Caenorhabditis elegans: one gene and its partner. The protein of the gene in region 1 purifies or fractionates together with the protein of each later gene. This does not show direct contact. Each region holds a gene or a part of one and is shown on either strand. Other genes may lie near its edges. The genes, in order: chdh-1 and ccdc-149.

Region 1 (10,159 bases):
TAAAATTGTTTGCGAAATTTATCCACCAGGCTGAGCTCCAGCAACTTCTACGTTAAGTCTAACATATCCGATTGTATGTTGTAAAGATGTGATTAGATCAATCTAGGAAAAAAATAAAAAATTTTTAAATCAGTTGTTATCATTCAATAATTTTCCGAGACGTAGCACATTACAGGTGAAGATTTGGTTCCAAAATCGTCGAATCCGGATGAGAAGAGAAGCCAATAAATAATAGTCAAATATTTATTTAATTTCATTTCACTGAAATAAATTTTGTAGTTAGAACCACTATTTCCAACATTGAAAACATCGCTTTACGGTTTTGAAAACTCCTCGAGAGCAAATTCCTGATCATCTGACACTTTTCCAGACATTAACCCATTGTCTTTTAACCTGACAAATTGTCGATTTCTTGGACAAACAGTCAAGTTGGTAGGCGAGTCATGGGGAGTACACTACATAAATGAGTTGTGATGTTTGATTTTTCTCTTTTTTGTATGTTTTGCATTGATTAGAAGCAGCCAATTCTTTCTTAAAAAATAATAAACTCATATTGTTTAAAAAATCATCTAGTGCATTTTAATTGGAAAAACTGGCCAAAACTTGCAAAAAAGCATAAAGTTATGGGAGACTTGAGAACGTATAGATTGAAAAGCATATAGGTTTGTGCACACGGCGCAACTTTTATTTTCACAGTTTACCTTTGAAAAGAACACATCTAGTAATACTTCCTTGTTTTTTCATCAAAGTGACCGTTCATTCACTCAGCGATCTCAGAGTGCACTATTCTCCCAATAGTCAATACAATGCTTTGATAATTCAAGAGAGATGTTTGCTCACTTTCCGCAACTCTTTCCGTATTCCACCTGGCTGTAGAGGTATTTCCCTCTGGAAAACGCTCAAATTTTTAATTTTTCCCGGAATTGAAACAATTCAAGATAGTGTTATCAACTTATGTGGTTGACTGACTACTTTTAAATTTCCATCTTTATTGTCTTGATCATTCATTTTTCAATTATTATTTAGTTGGAAAATAACTCTCCCATTGATCAGATCTGAAATCTCAAAAAAGTACTCTGAAATCCATTATAGTTTCCTTTCTACAAAATGGTTTTGATTACAGTTTCACAGCATATAGTTAGAAGATTGAAATTAGATACTTTATGTTTTATGAAGTTAAAGTATAAATACACATGTTTAACCAAACTGCATGATTCATATCCTTCCTCAATATAAATTAATCCACACAGGTTCCCTACATTTCCCATTCCTTGTCTATTGCCCTGCACTCTTAATTGTTCCCCATTCAACCTACGTCCTATTGTTCATTTAATGTTTTCATTCAAACATTTCTTACCACGTGACAATAAAACATTGTGTCCCTATTTTAGAATTTTGTTTTTTTCAAAAAACTGAACACATCAGTACTCGTTCATTTTCTACTAACCTTTTCTGTGAGTTGTTTGCAGTGTAAATAAGCGAAAATGTGTGTAGCGTTGCAGTGCTCAATAAGTCTATTTTATGCACCATAGCAACTCGCAATAGACTACAACAATGTTTTTAACGCTCAAAAATCCTTGGTTCTTTAAAACATTGAAAAATAGTAAAAATGAATATTTATAAGGCTAAATAATTTCCAACCCAAATTTGTTAGAAAAAGTGCATGTGCTTTGCATATCGATTTTCTGTAAAATAAACATTTCCTTCCAAGAACTGTTAGCTGAACGGTGCCAGCGATTTAAGATTTCAAGCTTAATTTGAAATTATATTAAATTGAGAAAACCGTACGTCTAAAAATGTTCGTACAGGTACTTCGCACTTAGTTAAGCCGTGTTCAACTCCTGTCATTTCTCATCTAACCACTCTCTTTCTCTAACACACTCTAACCATGACCAACTCCTTGAGCCCCTCATACCTTTACATTAACCAAAATGTTCATAGTAGTGGTAACAATTTTTGAAAATTATACACAATGGTACTCTTCGCTACTAACAATATTCAGTCTAACTATCAAACGAAAGCTAAAGACAATTCGGAGTATGCAGGACTCTACATCAAAGTGCACTTGCACCGAACATCACATGGGCGGGACAATTTGCTGCTGTTGCCGATCGGATGCTGAGGAAAACGAGCAGCTCACAAGTGTGATATTGAGCAGAAAACCACCGCCACAGGGTGAGTTTTTTTTGGAAAAGTTTAATATTTTTCTAATAACGTAATTAATTTCATGATAAATTGTGATTTTAATTGAAAAATATTTCAAGTATTCATGTTTGAAAAAGAGCTATACATGCGTCTAGGCCTGAAAAGTTTCACGACGGGTGCATTTCTGCGTAGGATCCGCTGCACTGTCGTAAAATGTGATGCTTTACCGTAGCTAAAAATCCTTTAATTTATTTTTTCTTTAATTTTCAAATCAAATTTCAATTCAAATCAAAAGTTGTTTTGAAAAATAATTGTATAAATGTTCAACTCGTTTCATCCGCTTGTTAATGCTGGTCATTGATCCCTCGATTAAACCGCCTGTTGTTACATAAAAATCGATATGCCAAAGACCACGCAGCCAATTTTCGAGAATCGTTTGTTTATAATATCTCACAAGAACCCACTTAAACTTTGGAATAATGGAAGGTTAGGATTTTCTTAGAATTTTAGCAACATAATAAATAATTAATTCAATAATTTCTTCCCATATTCTATTTTAAAATTATTTTACAGAACAATGTCGTGGAAATCTTCTTGTTTTCATCAATCCTAACAGTGGAACTGGAAAAAGTCTGGAGACTTTTGCGAATACAGTTGGACCGAAGTTGGATAAAAGCTTGATTCGATATGAAGTCGTTGTTACGAGTGAGTTTCAGGAAAACTAGAAAAAAAAACAAATTAATGTTTACTTTACAGCCGGGCCGAATCACGCGAGAAATGTGCTCATGACAAAAGCCGACCTTGGAAAGTTCAATGGGGTTTTGATTCTTTCTGGAGATGGTTTGGTTTTCGAGGTAACGCTTTCAAAAAACACGAAATTAGTTTAAATTCGTTGGAGGCAGTTTTTGAATTTAAAAAATTATATTATTCACCTTTCCGCCGAAATAATGCAATTTTAATTTCAAATTTGTAAATTTTCAGGCTCTCAACGGAATTCTTTGTCGTGAAGATGCATTCCGGATATTCCCAACTCTCCCAATCGGAATTGTTCCCAGCGGATCCGGAAACGGACTTTTATGTTCGGTTTTGTCGAAATACGGAACAAAAATGAACGAGAAATCTGTAATGGAAAGAGCTTTGGAAATTGCCACCTCACCAACAGCAAAGGCGGAAAGCGTAGCTTTGTATTCAGTTAAAACAGATAATCAGTCATATGCATCGTTTTTGTCAATTGGATGGGGTTTGATGGCAGATATTGACATTGACAGTGAGAAATGGAGAAAATCGCTTGGCCATCACAGATTCACTGTTATGGGATTCATTCGCAGCTGCAGTAAGATTTTAAAAAATTTAAATTATTCTAAAACTTCCAATTTTCAGATCTCCGATCTTATAAAGGACGCCTTACGTATCGTCCATACAAACCAAAAGGATTCCATCCATCGTCCAACGTTTTCAGTGTGTATGAAAAAACTACACAACAAAGGGTGATCAATTTCAAAAATATATTTTTTAAAATAGTTCTTAACATATATTTTTTAAGTATTTTTTATTAGTAACGACCCTTCCAATAATTTCTCATTTTTCTAGATTGATGATTCAAAAGTAAAAACGAATGGATCCGTGTCAGATTCCGAAGAAGAAACAATGGAGACAAAATTCCAAAATTGGACGCTGCCCGATTCAGATGAAACTTTGGCAGTTGGAAGTTCTGATTTAGAAGAAACTGTCGTAATCGAGGATAATTTTGTGAATATCTATGCAGTTACTCTTTCCCATATCGCAGCTGATGGACCATTCGCTCCAAGTGCCAAATTAGAAGATAATCGAATTCATCTTTCGTATATTCTATGGAAAGATATCGGTACACGAGTTAATATTGCTAAATATCTTTTGGCGATTGAACACGAGACTCATCTGGATCTACCCTTTGTTAAAGTTAGTGTCACCTTTTCTTTCTATTAATTCAAAACTAAATTTTCAGCACGTGGAAGTGTCGTCAATGAAACTGGAAGTTATCAGTGAAGGATCACACGTAGTACTCGATGGAGAAGTAGTCGACACGAAAACAATTGAAGTAGCATCGACAAAAAATCATATTTCCGTTTTCTCATCAACTGCCTAGAAATTAAATATCTTTTATCTTTGATTTCTAACCGGTTTTCCTTGTGTACAAACACCGATGTATAGATTTTATTTTATTTTCCCAAAGAAGTAACCTAATAACTATGTTTTAGGATTTAAAGTATATTGAAATAGCTTTTCCTCACATTTTTTGAAGTTTTTAATCTATTCAAGGGTCCCCTCTCTCACTTTTCCTCTACTTCGTTTCGTGTGCTTTCCTCATTTTTTACTTGCCTTTTCTGTGATTTATTTACTTTAAAAATTTTCTAAACGTTTAAAAATTATTTTCCTATTCTCTACTGAATTGTTTTACGTGAAAGTCAAGTTATTGGTTCTAGATACTGTTTTCAAAAAAAAAAAAGACCCACTGGAAAAAAAGTTATTTTATTTCCCATTTTGAAGATATGCTTCAAAATCATGCGGCACGATCTCTACAAAGGACCTCAAAACGATGGATAAACTGGAGAGATTCGATGAAAGAAGGCACATTTTCAGCGGATATTGCAGAAAATAAACCAACGCATATTATTGTTGGAGCTGGAAGTGCTGGCTGCGTTTTAGGTAGGAGATTTCTCTTGATTTTGGTAATTTCAGATTGAAACCAATTGTTTTTCATCATTTTTAACTTTCTTCAAAAAAGACAGAATATTGATTATTGGATTTTCATGTCGAAAAAGAGACAACCGTAGTTAAAATTTCAATTTCAATGTTATATTCAAATTGAACTTACAGCAAACCGTCTAACTGAAGATCCTTCGAATCGAGTACTTCTTATCGAAGCTGGACCAGTTGATCATAAATGGGATTGGAGAATACACATGCCAGCTGCACTTATGTATAATCTCTGTTCAGACACTTATAACTGGCATTATCACACAACTGCTCAAAAAAATTTAGGAAATCGAGTATTTTATTGGCCGAGAGGAAGGTTTGTTTCGACTTAGGTTTTTCTAATTCAATTTATTAGAAACATTTCCAGAGTATGGGGTGGAAGTTCAACACTGAATGCAATGTGCTATGTACGAGGACATGCCTACGACTATAATCGATGGGAGAAAGAAGGTGCATCAGGATGGAACTATGCAAATTGTCTACCATACTTCAAAAAAGCAGAGACTTATTCTGACGCAACCGGTCCAAATGACCCATATAGAGGAAATAATGGTCCATTATACGTTAAAAAAGGAGATGCTGAAAATCCATTGCATAAAGCTTGGTTAAATGTTGGAAAAGAACATCCGTTAGGTTGGACAAATGATATGAATGGAGAAAAACAGGAAGGAATATCTACTATGGATATGACTATTCATAATGGAGAACGGTAAGGATTCAGCGGATTTTTTAAAATATAACAATTGATCTACCATTTCTTCCTATAAATAGAAATATCACTGATACTAATTCTCAATAGTTTTTCAGCTGGTCCGCATCGAAAGCATATGTTCATCCGATTCGAAACCGTCCGAACTTGATCACATCTTCTGGAATCACTTGTACACGGGTATTATTCGACACGAACAAGGCGATCGGAATCGAATTTATTCGAAAATTGAACTTTGTCGGAACGGATTCTATCGATTCATACAGTAGAGAGAAGATTTATTGCCAAGGAGATGTTATTTTGGCTGGTGGAGCCATCAATACACCCCAATTGCTTATGCTCAGTGGAGTCGGGCCAGCTGATCATCTGAGGTCTCACGAAATTCCAATAGTTGCAAATTTACCTGGTACGTATTCTAGTACAACTTGCTAGATTGTTTAAAATTTGCAAATTTTGTTATCAAACTACAATGATTCAAAAAATTATTCCAGGAGTTGGTCAGAATCTTCAAGATCATCTTGAGATCTATGTTCAACAAGAATCAACGCAACCCGTAACCCTATACAACAAAAGTTCATGGAAGTTCCCACACAATATGATCAAAATCGGGCTCGAATGGTTCACAAATCGAACAGGACTAGGTGCATCATCTCATTTGGAAACTGGTGGATTTGCAAGATCAGATGATACGGTTACACATCCTGATATTCAATTCCACTTTTTACCATCTACAGTACACGATGATGGTAGAACCAATGGAACTTGTCATGGTTATCAGGTAATAAATTATAACTTTTATATCAATCTTAATTGCAATTTACAGGTCCATGTTGGTCCAATGCGGTCTCAATCGAAAGGATACATAATGTTACAAGCCAAGGATCCTCGCCGTGCTCCAATCATCAATCCGAACTATATGGAAGAAGATTCAGATTGGCGAGAATTCCGTAAATGTATCCGAGTGTCTCGTGAACTTTTCGCATCAAAAGCGTTTGACGAATTCAGAGGAAAGGAGTTGGCTCCTGGACCAGATTGCCAATCAGATGCTGATATTGATCGATTTGTTAAAGAAAAAGCAGCATCAGCATATCATCCATCATGTACTTGTAAAATGGGATCAGAAAATGATAAAATGGCAGTTGTTAATCCAGAAACGATGGGAGTATACGGAACAGAAAATTTGAAAGTAAGGAATCAATGAAATTCTCACACTTCGTGCATTCATTATATTTCAGGTCGTCGACGCAAGTGTAATGCCATCAATTGTTAGTGGAAACTTGAACGCCCCAGTGATAATGATGGCAGAACGAGCAGCGGATCTGATAAAACACAAAAAACAACTACTTCCACCGTCAGATGCAAATGTTTGGCACCATAACTAGGATTTTTATTTATTTTAATAAAGTTATTTAGATTCTGAATAATTCGAACTGTGGGGTTGAAAGACGTACACGTATAATTAAGCAATTACCTAACTATTATATAAATGCAGTGCTCTGAAAATGTGTATTGACGCCAAAATTATCCCGTTGCGAAAACTACAGTAATACTTTAAACCACTAAATACTGTAAACAGCACTTGTGTCGATTTATTGGTTCGATTTTTGAAATGAATTTTTTTCGAATAGTGACATTCCATTTTCCTTACAATTAGTTTCTTCGTATTATGGTAATCCTACAGTACCATACAGTACCTCGACATCATCTTTCCATCCATTATCTCTTTAAAAATCAAAATTTCACAGTTCCGGAGAGTACAGTAATCCTACCGTTTTCCTACAGTAATCCCACAGGATTTTATACAGTACCATACTCTCTACTATCACCAACTTACTATACCTTCTAGAGAAAACCTTTTTCAAATTAAAGCACAAACTTCCAATACAACAGACAGATAATTAAAAAGAAAGACTCCACGTCATTAATAAACACGTGAACTTTGCGGTGGCCACTGCCACGTTGTCGCGACGCCATCTACCGACCAGGGGTGCGCATGGGTCAAAAAGAGTCGACCCGCTCCAACTTTGAGCAAGTAGTACTGACGAAAACAAGTTATTTTTTTCTCTCATTATTTTTCTTTATATTTTTTATTTATATTATAATGTATTATTTATCTTTTCAGGGAATACGTACGAAATGCCTTCCCATCGACCAAAGATCAGGAAACTCCTAGCAGAATATGGTTTCAGTATTATTGTGTCACAACAAGGACCATTAAACAACAAGGACCATTAAAATATTTAAACCATTAAAATTATACAATTTCGAGGATTTAGATGCAAATACCTAAAAATGGGCGGGACTTACCTTACCTAGTTCAAATTAAAGTCGCAAACTTTTCTCAGAACATTGTGATAATCTCGTGAAATTTTGATCCTTCACAAATTAAAATTAACACCTGTGAAGTACACATACTTGCTAATTTCATATTAAAAAACATTAGGTTATGATATTCTATATCTATATCTACAGGCCAGGATTTACCGTAAAGCATTCAGCTTTTTTTCAGGCGACCGGAATATGAAAATTACTATCTTTGGCACGTCAGATGCAATTGCACATGCAATTCTCGAGCCCAAATTCCGTTGCAGTGGACAGTCTATATATTTGCTGGATGACTATTCATCTGAAAATATTGTAGTAATTGCAAGACCGTCTCATTCAATTGGTGGGCAAGCAGAAAATCTCAGCCAACTCACACCTACAAGCTGTTCTCTTCCAATCAAATAGTTTTATGTGGTGTGAAGAGTGACGTAAGGATTATCATAATTATTATATATAAATACCTCATAATTATCATTTTAGGAAACAACATTTTCTATCCTGAAAATGGTCGAAAAGTTAGCACTCGACACAGCAACTTTCGGAAGTCGCTTCAATGACTTATTGAAAGTGCCATGCAAAACTATGAAGGCGTGGATCAGCAGTGAAGCCGACGAGCCCACCACTGAGATTGGCCCATTCACCAAAGAAAAATTGAAGAGTAAGTTTGAGCTTGATTCCGAAGATTTCTGCTTAGATCCTGGATTCATTTCTTTCTGACCTCTAAATAAAACCTCAAATGAAATTAACAGTTTATTATATTTTACTTTTTTTTTCTCAAAATTCATATTTTGTCATATATTCATGGTTTTCAGACGGCTATCAACAAGGCCAAAATGGCGACGTCCATCACGGAGCCGAATCTCTCTTTTTGGCTTGAATCATTGACGGAGCTTCTAGCAATTCCTTGTCACTCGATTGTGAAGGATCTGTCAAAAGAGGCAATGGTCATTTGCCCGGTCTTCCGAATTTCAAGGACTTTCACAAATTATGGTCATGTGCTATACGTGTCACAGAAGCCACTCGGGACGAAACCGATGAAATTAACAATTACGTTATGCACGATTATGAAGCCAGAGACTCCCGTGGTGCCTGAAGTAAGCTATTGTATTTTCCTACAATGGCATTGTTCTTACTATTAGAAATTGATTTTTTCGGCTATCATCTAAATTTTTCTTCAATTGTTAAAAGTTAATTCATTCAAAAATATTATGTTTTTTTACGATTATGTATTGTAATTAATAAAATATTCTTCTCGAAATTCTCGTCACGGAAATTTGAGCCATAGAGACCCGTTCCTTTCATCTGAACAAAAAATGTGTATCTTTTAAATTCAATATTGCTACTCACACTGCATAAGCCGTCTTGAATCATGAAGTCCTTGACGGCACGATGCAATGTGCACATGAACAGTTCGGTGATAATGATGACAGAACGAGTAGTGGATCTAATCAAACACAAGAAACAACAACTTCCATCGCCAGTTGCAAACCATAAATTAGATTTTTATTTATTTAAAAAAATTTATTTAGATTATGATTAATTCTCGAACACTAGGCATTGAAGGCTAGAAGTTGATTATTTACAAGTATAATTAAATAATTAGCTAGTTTAGATACCGGTAATAATAGTGGAATGGGATATCGAAGTGAAAACTTAATAGAAAATAACGAGGATCATCGATAATGATAACAAAACTTGCAGAGTAGCTGATGAGTTTTCAGATTCGGTAGAGGTGGTTGTTGTTGGAGCTATAGTATTTCTAATTGTCATTTCAGGTACATGATTGATTGTTGATGGACTCTGACGAGTTGTTGAAGTAGATACTGTCATGGGTTCCAGGCGATCTGTTAATTTTTTTGATTGATTTTCAACCTATAACGTCAACTCACCATGAACCACGTTTTTAACTCCAAAAGCAAGCTCATTGGTTGGCTGTGACGGTTGCTCAAATGTGACATTGACAACTTCTGCCAATTTGAGTTTCTCGACCCCTCTGTTGATTCCCTGGAAGTTGGAACCCATTTGACTATCCCCTTTTGACCAGACAATCAGGATTTCATTTGGTCCCAATGGATGATCGGTTGGTTCAAATTCTGAAATATGAATTAGCTACGTCGTATAAGTTTAACGTACCTCTAAGCTCTCTCCTGAACATAACAATTGATCTACCATCTTGTTGTGTTCCATAAGCAGCTGATAAACTCATTTCACCGTCATACCAATAATCTTCAAGAGGAGTTGAAC
Region 2 (9,505 bases), on another chromosome or scaffold:
GTTGAAAGAGCGCACCATTATCTCCCAGATTCACCAGCGAATGTGAAAGATCAGAGAAAAATAATCAGGGAACATCATTATGTTCCTCTTGAGAAACGCTCTCAATCGTTGGATTTAAAAGTAGTTCATCCTGAACATCACTATGTTCCACTTGTCAGAAAAACAACGGAGGATCATCAACAAAAAGTGAATCACGAACATCATTTCATACCAGCGGAGAAAAAAACCGAAGCAGTCAAAGATGTTGTTCACGAGCATCACTACATTCCACTGACCGCTCATAAAACTGATGAACATAATGTGAATATCACTCGAGAGCATCATTACATTCCGTTGAAAACGGAGCAAGTGCAGAGCAAAACAGAAATTGAACGTCACAATCAATACGTTCCAATGACTACTCACAAGGAAACAAAATCGTTTGATACTGGAAGAAGCCACTCTTATATCCCATTAGGTGGAAATGTGGAGCAGTCAAAAACCGAGATTTTTCGTCAGCACAACTTTGTTCCTGTTGTTGATAAAAAGGAAAAAAACGTCGAAGAAATCAATCAAAAGCATAATTATGTGCCAGCTCATTCGAATGTGGCTGTTTCCGATAAAGAGCCGATAAGCCGTCATCACAACTTTGTGCCGCTTGCAACCAAAACTGTAGAAGAGACGCGTCACTCTAACGACTTAAGTCATCATCACTATATGCCACTGCCAGCAAAAAGGGAAGAGGGAAAGACGGCAGCGGGTGATAAGGTCGGCTACGAACATCACTATTACCCGTTGGCATCGAATACTGAACGAGTTTCGGTTCACAAAGGACAAGAGCACCACTACGTGCCTCTTATTGCTAAACCAACGGAGAGTCACGCTTCCAAAATTGTCATTCAGCATCAATATATTCCGCTAGCTATGAGACATCAAAGTGTACCGAGACTTCCTTCGGAGCACAATTATATTCCGATTGCTATTCATGACGATTCGCATCAAAAAGTCGATTTGACGAACCATCAATATTTGCCACCTATTGTTAACGCCGAACAGAAAGAAGCTGTTAAGTTGTATGAGCATCAATATGTTCCACTTCCGCCCAAAAAGGATAGTTTCGCGGTAAGAAAACTTGAAGGAAAAGACCACCATTATGTTCCTCTTGTCCAGAACTACTCATCAAAAGCTCCACAACTTCCACGAGAACATCATTACTATCCGGCACCTGTTCGATCAGTAGAGCATCATCAAAAACATGTTCATGAGCAACATAACTATATTCCTGCAGTCCATCATCATGAAACAAATCATCAACTTGATCGTCAACATGGATATATTCCAGTCGCTGCAAAACACGAAGCAAAGAAAAATGTACTCTATGAGCATCAGTACATTCCGCCAATCACGAGAACGGAGCAAACGAATGGTTATGATAGAAGACACAATTATGTTCCGGTTGGAAAAACTGCAAAAGCGACAACGACAGACATCCACGTGCATCAGGATCATCAATATGTACCGCAAGCCAGCCCAAGGAAAACTATTTCGGAGGTGAATCGCTCTCACAATTACATTCCAGCCCTTCCTCCCAAAGAGCACCAATCCCGGCATGAGCACTATCAGTCTCATTCTTACCTTCCCCCTAGTCAAAAATCTACCTCACATCAATCTCCGCCTAAACTCATCAACCACTCTTTTGTCCCTCAGATTCCACACAAGACCAAGGATAATCAAGTTGTTCATGAGCATGGATATGTGCCACCTGTCAAAAAATCGGATTTAAAAACCTCTGTCGATCATTCCAAGCATGAATATTTGCCATCAGTGGTGCACACGGAGTCCAAGGATGATTTCAAACATTCGAAACATGGATATGTTCCATCATTGGAACACTCACAGAGAATTGAACGAGGCGTCGTTTCCACCCACAACTACGTGCCTCCTGTCACTAAGATCATCGAAAAAAACGCCTCCGATCCCACAAAGCATGGATATCTCCCACAATCGAAGCGTTCAAAGAGTAGTGATCAAATTGATCATTCAAAGCATGGCTTCCTTCCATCCATCAAACATCAGGAAGCTCAAGATCATGCAGATCACTCAAGACATGGGTATGTTCCACCAACGAAAAAGGCCCACAACGATTATTGGGGATTTGAGCGAGACCATCATTATGTTCCGGACACACTGAAAAAGGATAAGATCAAACAGATTCATCGTGAGCACAATTTTGTCCCATCAGTTGTTCCAGCCAAGCCCGATGAAAAATTCGAAGGACAAGATCACCACTACGTGCCGTCTGTTAGAAAAACAACCGGAATCACTTCTGAGATCGAACATCGCCACAATTTCGTTGAGAAGATTCCTTCTAAACACGAAACTCCAAAACTACCAGAAACTCATAACTACGTGCCAACTGTTCACAAATCCCAAAATTTGGACCGAAGCACATTGGAGAAGCACAATTACGTCCCCACTTACCAAAAGAAATTTGAGCCTCGTCGAACTGATATACGTCATCACAACTATGTGCCAACAATTGTCAAACCACATGAACATCGTGATAACTTTGATCACCATCATTACGTTCCACAAATTGCAAAACCTTCAGATGTGAAACTAAGTGACTATGACAAGCACCATTACGTTCCACCAGTTTTCGAAAAGAGTGTTGTCAATCAAGTTGAGTACGAACACAAGTACACTCCAACTGTTGTCAAGAGTACTGAACCAAGAATTTTGAATCACACGCAACATCATTACACTCCATCTCATCAAATTGTATCCAATACATATGACGATATCGACACTCATCATGGATATTTGCCTCAAATTCCGAGGAAAGAAACCGCAGCTCGTGTTCCATTGGGTCATCATTTTGTGCCACAAATTCCACACAAAGAAGTGGCTCCTGACTACGATCATCATCACCACTATGTGCCATCTGTTCAGCCCAAAGCGCCAACTCCAGCCGTAGATTACCAACATCACTATTTGCCTTCAGTCAAGAAACCAACTAGCACTACCACTGATATGATTCGACAACAAAGGAAAAAAATTCTGAAGAGCACTGATGATGATGAAGATCAAGAAAATCAGTATGTGGCGAAACCACCAGTCTACACAAATGCATTCGTAAAACCGTACAAGACAATTCCTGATGAACCAACAAACTACATGCTCAAAAATGGAAAATCTCGTAACAATGGCATTCCTGAGGAGCCATCGCAACCAGTTCCCAAACCTCGCTCTTTCACCTCTCCTCAGCCTGATTATTAGATATGCCAGATTTCTTAAATTTATTTTTTAACTTAGTACTTTTTTCTCATTTTTTGAAACTTGACTTCCAAATCTCTTTTGCCCAATTTCCCCATCCCCCATCTATAATATCATTAGGTATGCCAACTTACATCCGGCGTTATCAGTAAACAAAAAATTGCAGAAAGTGAGTGAGCACGTGCAGTTGGGCGGTTCCCGGAAGTCGACAATCCAAAGTGGACATCATCACCACCATCATCATGATCACGAGAATCGCAACGATGTTCCATCGAGACCATCAAGTGTTGCTAATTATGTCAAGGTAACATATTCTTGTAATTAGAAAATCCCATTCAATCACATTCCGGAACACACGACATAAAAGCTCACTTATTATTTTCAGCACCAGCCACATTCTCGCACCTCGACGGTGAGCACTGTTCGTGGAGCTCCAGTTCAACGTAAGTATATTTTGGAATTTGTTTTTTGTACAACGTTGGAATTTCTAGATGTTTGTTTAGATAACACTTAATACACATAACATTCTGATATTGATGATACCTTCATTTTTTAGGTGTCAATCCAACTGTTCAACAGCATGTTATTTACAATCCATACGGAGACCATCAATCTGTTCGTGTCGTGAAAAATGTTCGAGAGTTTGTCAACGTTTTTGGAGCAACTCACGTTGTTCCACCACCAACTCCTCTTGCTGGAGTGCCACGACTTTCCCAAAGAAGCCCAATTTCTCATGAAACATTCCAACCGCATGATGAGTGCAACTCTGTGAAATCTTCTCGTAAAAACACATTAGTTTCGGTTGGAAAAGGAATCCAAATTAATGATGTAAAATGACTTTATTTGAAAGAAAAAAAAAATTGAGTTTTAAGGCTCCACGCAAATCAACTTGTTCATCTGTTGCCTCTTCTCGCTCGTCATCTGTCTCCACTGTTTCTGCTCCAATTCTTGTTGGTGGAAATATTGCTGTTCCAACTCCGGTAATTTTGTTTTTTTTTCAATAACTTAGTAACTTAATTTGTTCAGAGATCCCGCAATGCTACTCTCACACAAGAAAACGTCCACGAGCACGACGTAAGTTTACAAAGTTGAACAATAATTTATTTTGTTTTATTTTTAGCAATATGACGATTTGATTCATGTTGCTGATATGCGCAAGCTTTTTGAAAACTATGGACCTGCTCATCTTCCGGAATACGCGTCGAACCCATCTGCTTACATTCACTAATTCTATTTGTATTATCTTAACTGCAATCCAACTTTTTAAATGTTTTATTCTAAACCTGTGATAGCTAGTCATTTTCTGTTATTTTTGACACTTTTTGTACTTATTCTGGGGTAGTTGGGCTTCTTTTTCTTATTTTCTCTTATTTCGTCAAGTGGTAAACTTAATAAATTTATTTTCACTAAACTTCGTTGTTTGGAAAAGAAGCTTCAAGATATCATACAGCAGAAATTCATTTCGTACTCGAAAGTTTATGTTCGCCCAACTTTTTCAATGCATGAAAGGCGGTCATGGAAAACGTGTGCGAGGAGCAGTGAGGCCCTCTCTTCCCCCTCTGTGCATATCGATTTTTGTCCTTATTTAGTCTTCTAATGCTCTTTGAGCTGTGCCATCTTCATGAAAGAAAATAATAATGCGGAGATTCTCGAGCTCAAGAAACAAGTAAGAACTTTTTATTAAAAAATTATATATTTTTTTTGCAAAATCGTTTTCTGACTATAACTATGTTTAATACATAATTATAGTTTACCGCTCTCCAACAAAAATGCGGTGCGAAAACAGACACGATCGTGAGACTCGGACAAGATTTGGAGAAATCTGAGAATGAGAAAAAGGGACTTGCGGCCAGAGTCGAAACACTAGAACGAAATTTGGAAAGATCTGAAAGAGAATTGCAGTTAGTATGTGCGGTAAGTCAACCTTCATTAAATAAATCATTATCAAATTTTTAACGAATTTTAATTTAGTGTCAGAACGACATGAAAATAAAATTCGGAACAGAGCGACAGGATTTGATAGAAGATATTGAAAAGTACAAGCGAGAAAATCAACAATTAAGGACCGACAGGCAAGAATTGTTGGACCAAAAAGCTGACTTGAAAAAAGACTGCAAAACGTTTCGACAGACAATTGCTCAGTTTGAGGTAAACATTTGAATATTTACAGAATATCGAGAAACATTTCTACTTATTTCATTTCGTTTTTTTTTAATTTAAAATGATTATATTGAGAGATTTATTGCAACAGAAACAAAAAATCTTGACAAAAAAACGAGTTTATTTCATAAAATTGATTCATTCGTTTTTCAGGTACAAATACCTTTTAATCTTTTTAAAAAGTTCATACATAATAATATGAGACTTTGCAGCAAAGTCTAATATTATTATGTAGCATAAATTTAATTTATAGCCATTATATTGTTTTATAAACAATCTTCGATAAAAACATTTTGCGAAATTTGTACTTAATTTTTTAAAATTAGCTTCAATGTTTATGGCTTTTAGGTAGAAAAAATGGGAGGACCGGTTCGAAATTCATTTTCAACGGAAAATGACGAAGTTTCAAAGCTGGAAGCTCATGAAAAACTTCAGGCAAAGGTTTGTTCCGTTTCAATTTGGTTTGCCATAATTGTTTTTCAGTGCAAAGGTCTTGAATCGGATCTCCGGTCTATGCTTGGAATCAAAGAAGAGCTGCTCATGGAACGCGACGAAATGCAGCGGAAGGTAGCAAGATTGAGCAACGAGTTGAGTTATTTGTTGAATGGAGATCCGAGAAGGGTAAGTCAAGTATTCCCTTTTTTATACACCTGGTATTCGGATTGTTTTTGAGTTGAATTCTAATTGGCGTATTTAGGTGGCCGAAGATTTGGACAGTTTAGTGGCCGAAAACCGGTTTTTGAAAGCCAAACTAAACACTGCAGAAGAAGAGAGTGAGTCCATAAAAATGACACTTGCCAAATACAAACAAATGGCCGAAGCTGTAAATGTACAGGTAACTTTTTGGAATCATTATCGCCTATGTGAAAATTTTATTTCAAGACGATGGTGAATAGATCTCCAAAGGCTGGCGAAGGAGATGACAAACCAAGTGTAGCAGTCATCAATATGAAACAAAGTGAGACTTTTTGGACACAGTTTTTGTACTTCGTATTCCATTATTTTCCGGCATATTTCAGTTCGTGAGTTGCTAGCTTCTCATGCCATCGAACTCGTCGAGTCCGATTATCGTGCGATAACAACTATTCTGCTCGATTTGTGCAATGATAAGCAAATGGCGTTGGCACACTCACGTCGTGCTAACAAGTGGGAGTCATACAACGTTTCAATAAGGAATACTGTTTTTTTTTCAGAGTACTGGGAATGAGATTACATGAAGTTGAATCAAAGCTTGCTGTATTAGATATAAAGTCAAGAAGTTCAAGTCCGAGGCATGAACTCCCTCGAGATGAAGACATTGAACTGGTAGTCCCAAAGGCAGTGGCAAGTACATCGAGTAAATGAATAAATCGTTTAAATGTCAACCTTTTCCAAACATCTCACCATTTATTTACAAAAAAACAACTATAAAACAAAAAAGTTAAATTATAATTTGATTGGGAATCTTCACGTTCGTAATAGCGGGCAGGGTGTGGCAAGAAGCACGTCTTGTGTTCGTCGCCACGTTTCACATGCTTTCAGATTAAAATAACACGAGTTTCGGTATATGTTCTCATGTTGGTCACAAATAACAGACAACTCATCTGTACATCCAGCGGGACAGCATTTTCCTGAAAACAAGTAGTTCAATAGTTGTATTGAAGTAACAAGAAAACAAACCTTGGTAGTCCAGGGTTAACGTTGTGTTTTGAGTATGAATCTTGTCAAATATACACTTTGAGTTATGAAAGTGACAAAGAGAATCATGAGTTCGACCTCTTGAGTCACATACCGGCTGTCCGGTTTTTGGGCACGAAGCTAATGCACAACACTCTCCTGAAAAGTTGCATCTGTTTGAAATTTTGAAATTTATTTTTTTATTTAAGGTGATTCATTATAATCAAATTGTCAGGTATATGTACATGTTCCATTTTAAACATGTGTATTCAATGAGTTAATATTGAGTACACGAAAAATTTCAACTTCATTTTTTTTGCTCTTTTTTTTTGCTGTTGTTGGTTTGAAAAAACTTTAATATACCTGTATGAACAATGTTTAGAGTCTTCTGAGATATGGTTTGTGCCATACATCTTCTTTGTTGATAAACACAATGATTCATATGAGTTTGACCCTCTGAATCACAAACTGCTCCAGAACTTTCACACTCTCCTTTTGGGAGAAGACAACACTCTCCTGAATAGGCAATGCTGAGCGTTTTGTTTACTCGTTCTGCTTCACATTGTGCAATTCTGAAAGTGTCAGTATTTGCGGTCACAGAAAATAGGACAATATATGAGCCTACCTGAATCTGCAAATGTTCGGATGTGTAATTGTTCCGTCGCAAACTGGGGTTTTATCTTCATCACATGGCTGGTTACAGCATTGTCCCTTTAATTAATGTAACTAATCTGATTTAAAGTTAAAAAAAAAATAATATTTTTGTCCTTATAATGGCATTGGAAACCTTTCGTTCAAAAATTTATTTCAGAGTTTACCTGATAGGAAACTTGAATGGTTTTCTTGTTCTTTTTCATCTGAATGCATGCATTTTGATCCATGAGACACATATTCGCATGGGTTACTCCTTCAGTATCACAAACTGGTGAGAAGACAGAAATGTCGCAATTTTCGATTCTACAGCATTCTCCTGAAATTAATATTTTTATTTGAAACTAGAAAAATTGCAAACCGTCGTAATCTTTCACCAGTTTATCTCCAGTTGTCACATTATTTTCTACAAGACATCGAATTTTATCTAGTTCACACTCGTTCACAATGTTCTGCCCATTTGATGCACAAACTGGGCTGTATTCTTTTGGACACGCGTTGTTACATTCCTTGACTTCATTGCAAACTTCAAATTTGTCAATTGTAAGAACATCCCCAAATGTTCGTTCGGCAATACATCTTTTGACTCCGAAATGGCATATGTTCTGATGAGTACTTCCTTTACTATCACAAACTGGGCTGAAATCGGACGGACAGTTGGTATCACAACACATTCCGGTGTAAGCAACTTCAATCGTCGAGCTGAAACTCTGATCATCTATATTTGAAAAACTATCAAACTTCATTACTTCGCCGATTCACAAATCTCTTTCTGAAGGGAGCATGCGTTGGTAAAAGTAACTCCGTTAGTTCCACATAGAGGATCATATGAGTTGTCACATTCCATAGAACAATTAAAAGTATTTTCTCTTTTGAATTCTATGTTTGGTTTTTGGAAATTTCGATTGCTTGAAAAGTCATCGGTTAGCATATCTCTGAAACAAGATCTGCATTTCAATTTTTCATAATTTTCCTACTTTTCGCAAATCCCTTGTGAAACAACGACAAGCTTTGGTTGATCTAATTTCTTCAGCTTGCAGTTTTCGATGTTTAGTTCGCATTCTGTCAAAAACGTAGCTCCACTATCAGTGCAGACTGGATCCGGTTTTTCAGTATCGCATGACTCAACAGGAGGGCAACATACTCCAATCTGAATATCAAAAACAATTGATGAAACAATTTCTTTCCTAACTTACATATTGAACAGTTAGGTTCACACCGTATCCGCGCTCAAAAATGCAAGACAACATTTGATATTCACACAGTGATTTTGTAGATTGGTCTTCCAAGCAAACAAAAGACTCATCCGGGGAATTTTCTGCTGGGAGAGCACATGGAGAATCTAGACATTCGCTGCATTTTCCTGAATTCAACTATTTGAATGTTTTTTTTTCCAAAAAGTGTAACCTTTGAATAAAACTTCTAATTCAGAATCCAAACATTTCTGTTTTCTAAACTGACATAGATTTTCATAAGTGGAAAAATCAGATGCACAAATAGGGTGTTTATCATCAGTGCACGGCATTTGGCATGCTTCCTTTGAAATACAGTTCTCTTCAGTAGCAATGTGAATTTGATGTCCTTTGCTAGCAGCAATGCAGCGAGAGTAGGTAAACTCGCACAGATTTCTGAAATAGTGAAAATGCTGTTTCAATAAAATTATTAATGTGTTTATTGAAATTGTTGGACTGATTTTGTACAAGAAACTCATCAAGAATTACTCTTGAAGTATTGGCTACTGTGTAAAAGCTGTATACAAACATTTTATATGGTAAGTTAAAAC

The links.
Region 2: the proteins of chdh-1 (region 1) and ccdc-149 fractionate together in Caenorhabditis elegans (co-fractionation; one large-scale study listed by BioGRID). This does not show direct contact.

What each region holds. Positions count from the first base shown.
Region 1 is NC_003280.10:8,693,441-8,703,599, reverse strand, and holds chdh-1 (Glucose-methanol-choline oxidoreductase N-terminal domain-containing protein), read left to right. Parts: upstream 1-4,671; 5' UTR 4,672-4,673; coding exon 4,674-4,830; intron 4,831-5,001; coding exon 5,002-5,197; intron 5,198-5,248; coding exon 5,249-5,590; intron 5,591-5,688; coding exon 5,689-5,996; intron 5,997-6,081; coding exon 6,082-6,368; intron 6,369-6,413; coding exon 6,414-6,776; intron 6,777-6,825; coding exon 6,826-6,972; 3' UTR 6,973-7,009; downstream 7,010-10,159. Other genes in the region: Homeobox protein ceh-7, read left to right, coding at 176-232; sphk-1 (Sphingosine kinase 1), read left to right, coding at 1,932-2,175, 2,719-2,850, 2,902-2,999, 3,127-3,478, 3,526-3,632, 3,736-4,083, 4,130-4,270; C34C6.10 (Transposase), read left to right, coding at 8,420-8,573, 8,728-8,792; C34C6.3 (EGF-like domain-containing protein), read right to left, coding at 9,569-9,759, 9,805-10,008, 10,049-10,159.
Region 2 is NC_003284.9:11,506,716-11,516,220, reverse strand, and holds ccdc-149 (Coiled-coil domain-containing protein 149), read left to right. Parts: upstream 1-4,769; 5' UTR 4,770-4,876; coding exon 4,877-4,921; intron 4,922-5,004; coding exon 5,005-5,169; intron 5,170-5,226; coding exon 5,227-5,403; intron 5,404-5,763; coding exon 5,764-5,856; intron 5,857-5,898; coding exon 5,899-6,036; intron 6,037-6,112; coding exon 6,113-6,250; intron 6,251-6,297; coding exon 6,298-6,373; intron 6,374-6,434; coding exon 6,435-6,561; intron 6,562-6,608; coding exon 6,609-6,759; 3' UTR 6,760-6,779; downstream 6,780-9,505. Other genes in the region: hpo-34 (ZM domain-containing protein), read left to right, coding at 1-3,258; F29G6.1 (Kazal-like domain-containing protein), read right to left, coding at 6,862-7,025, 7,075-7,230, 7,435-7,643, 7,697-7,782, 7,890-8,041, 8,084-8,424, 8,472-8,657, 8,700-8,872 and 2 more.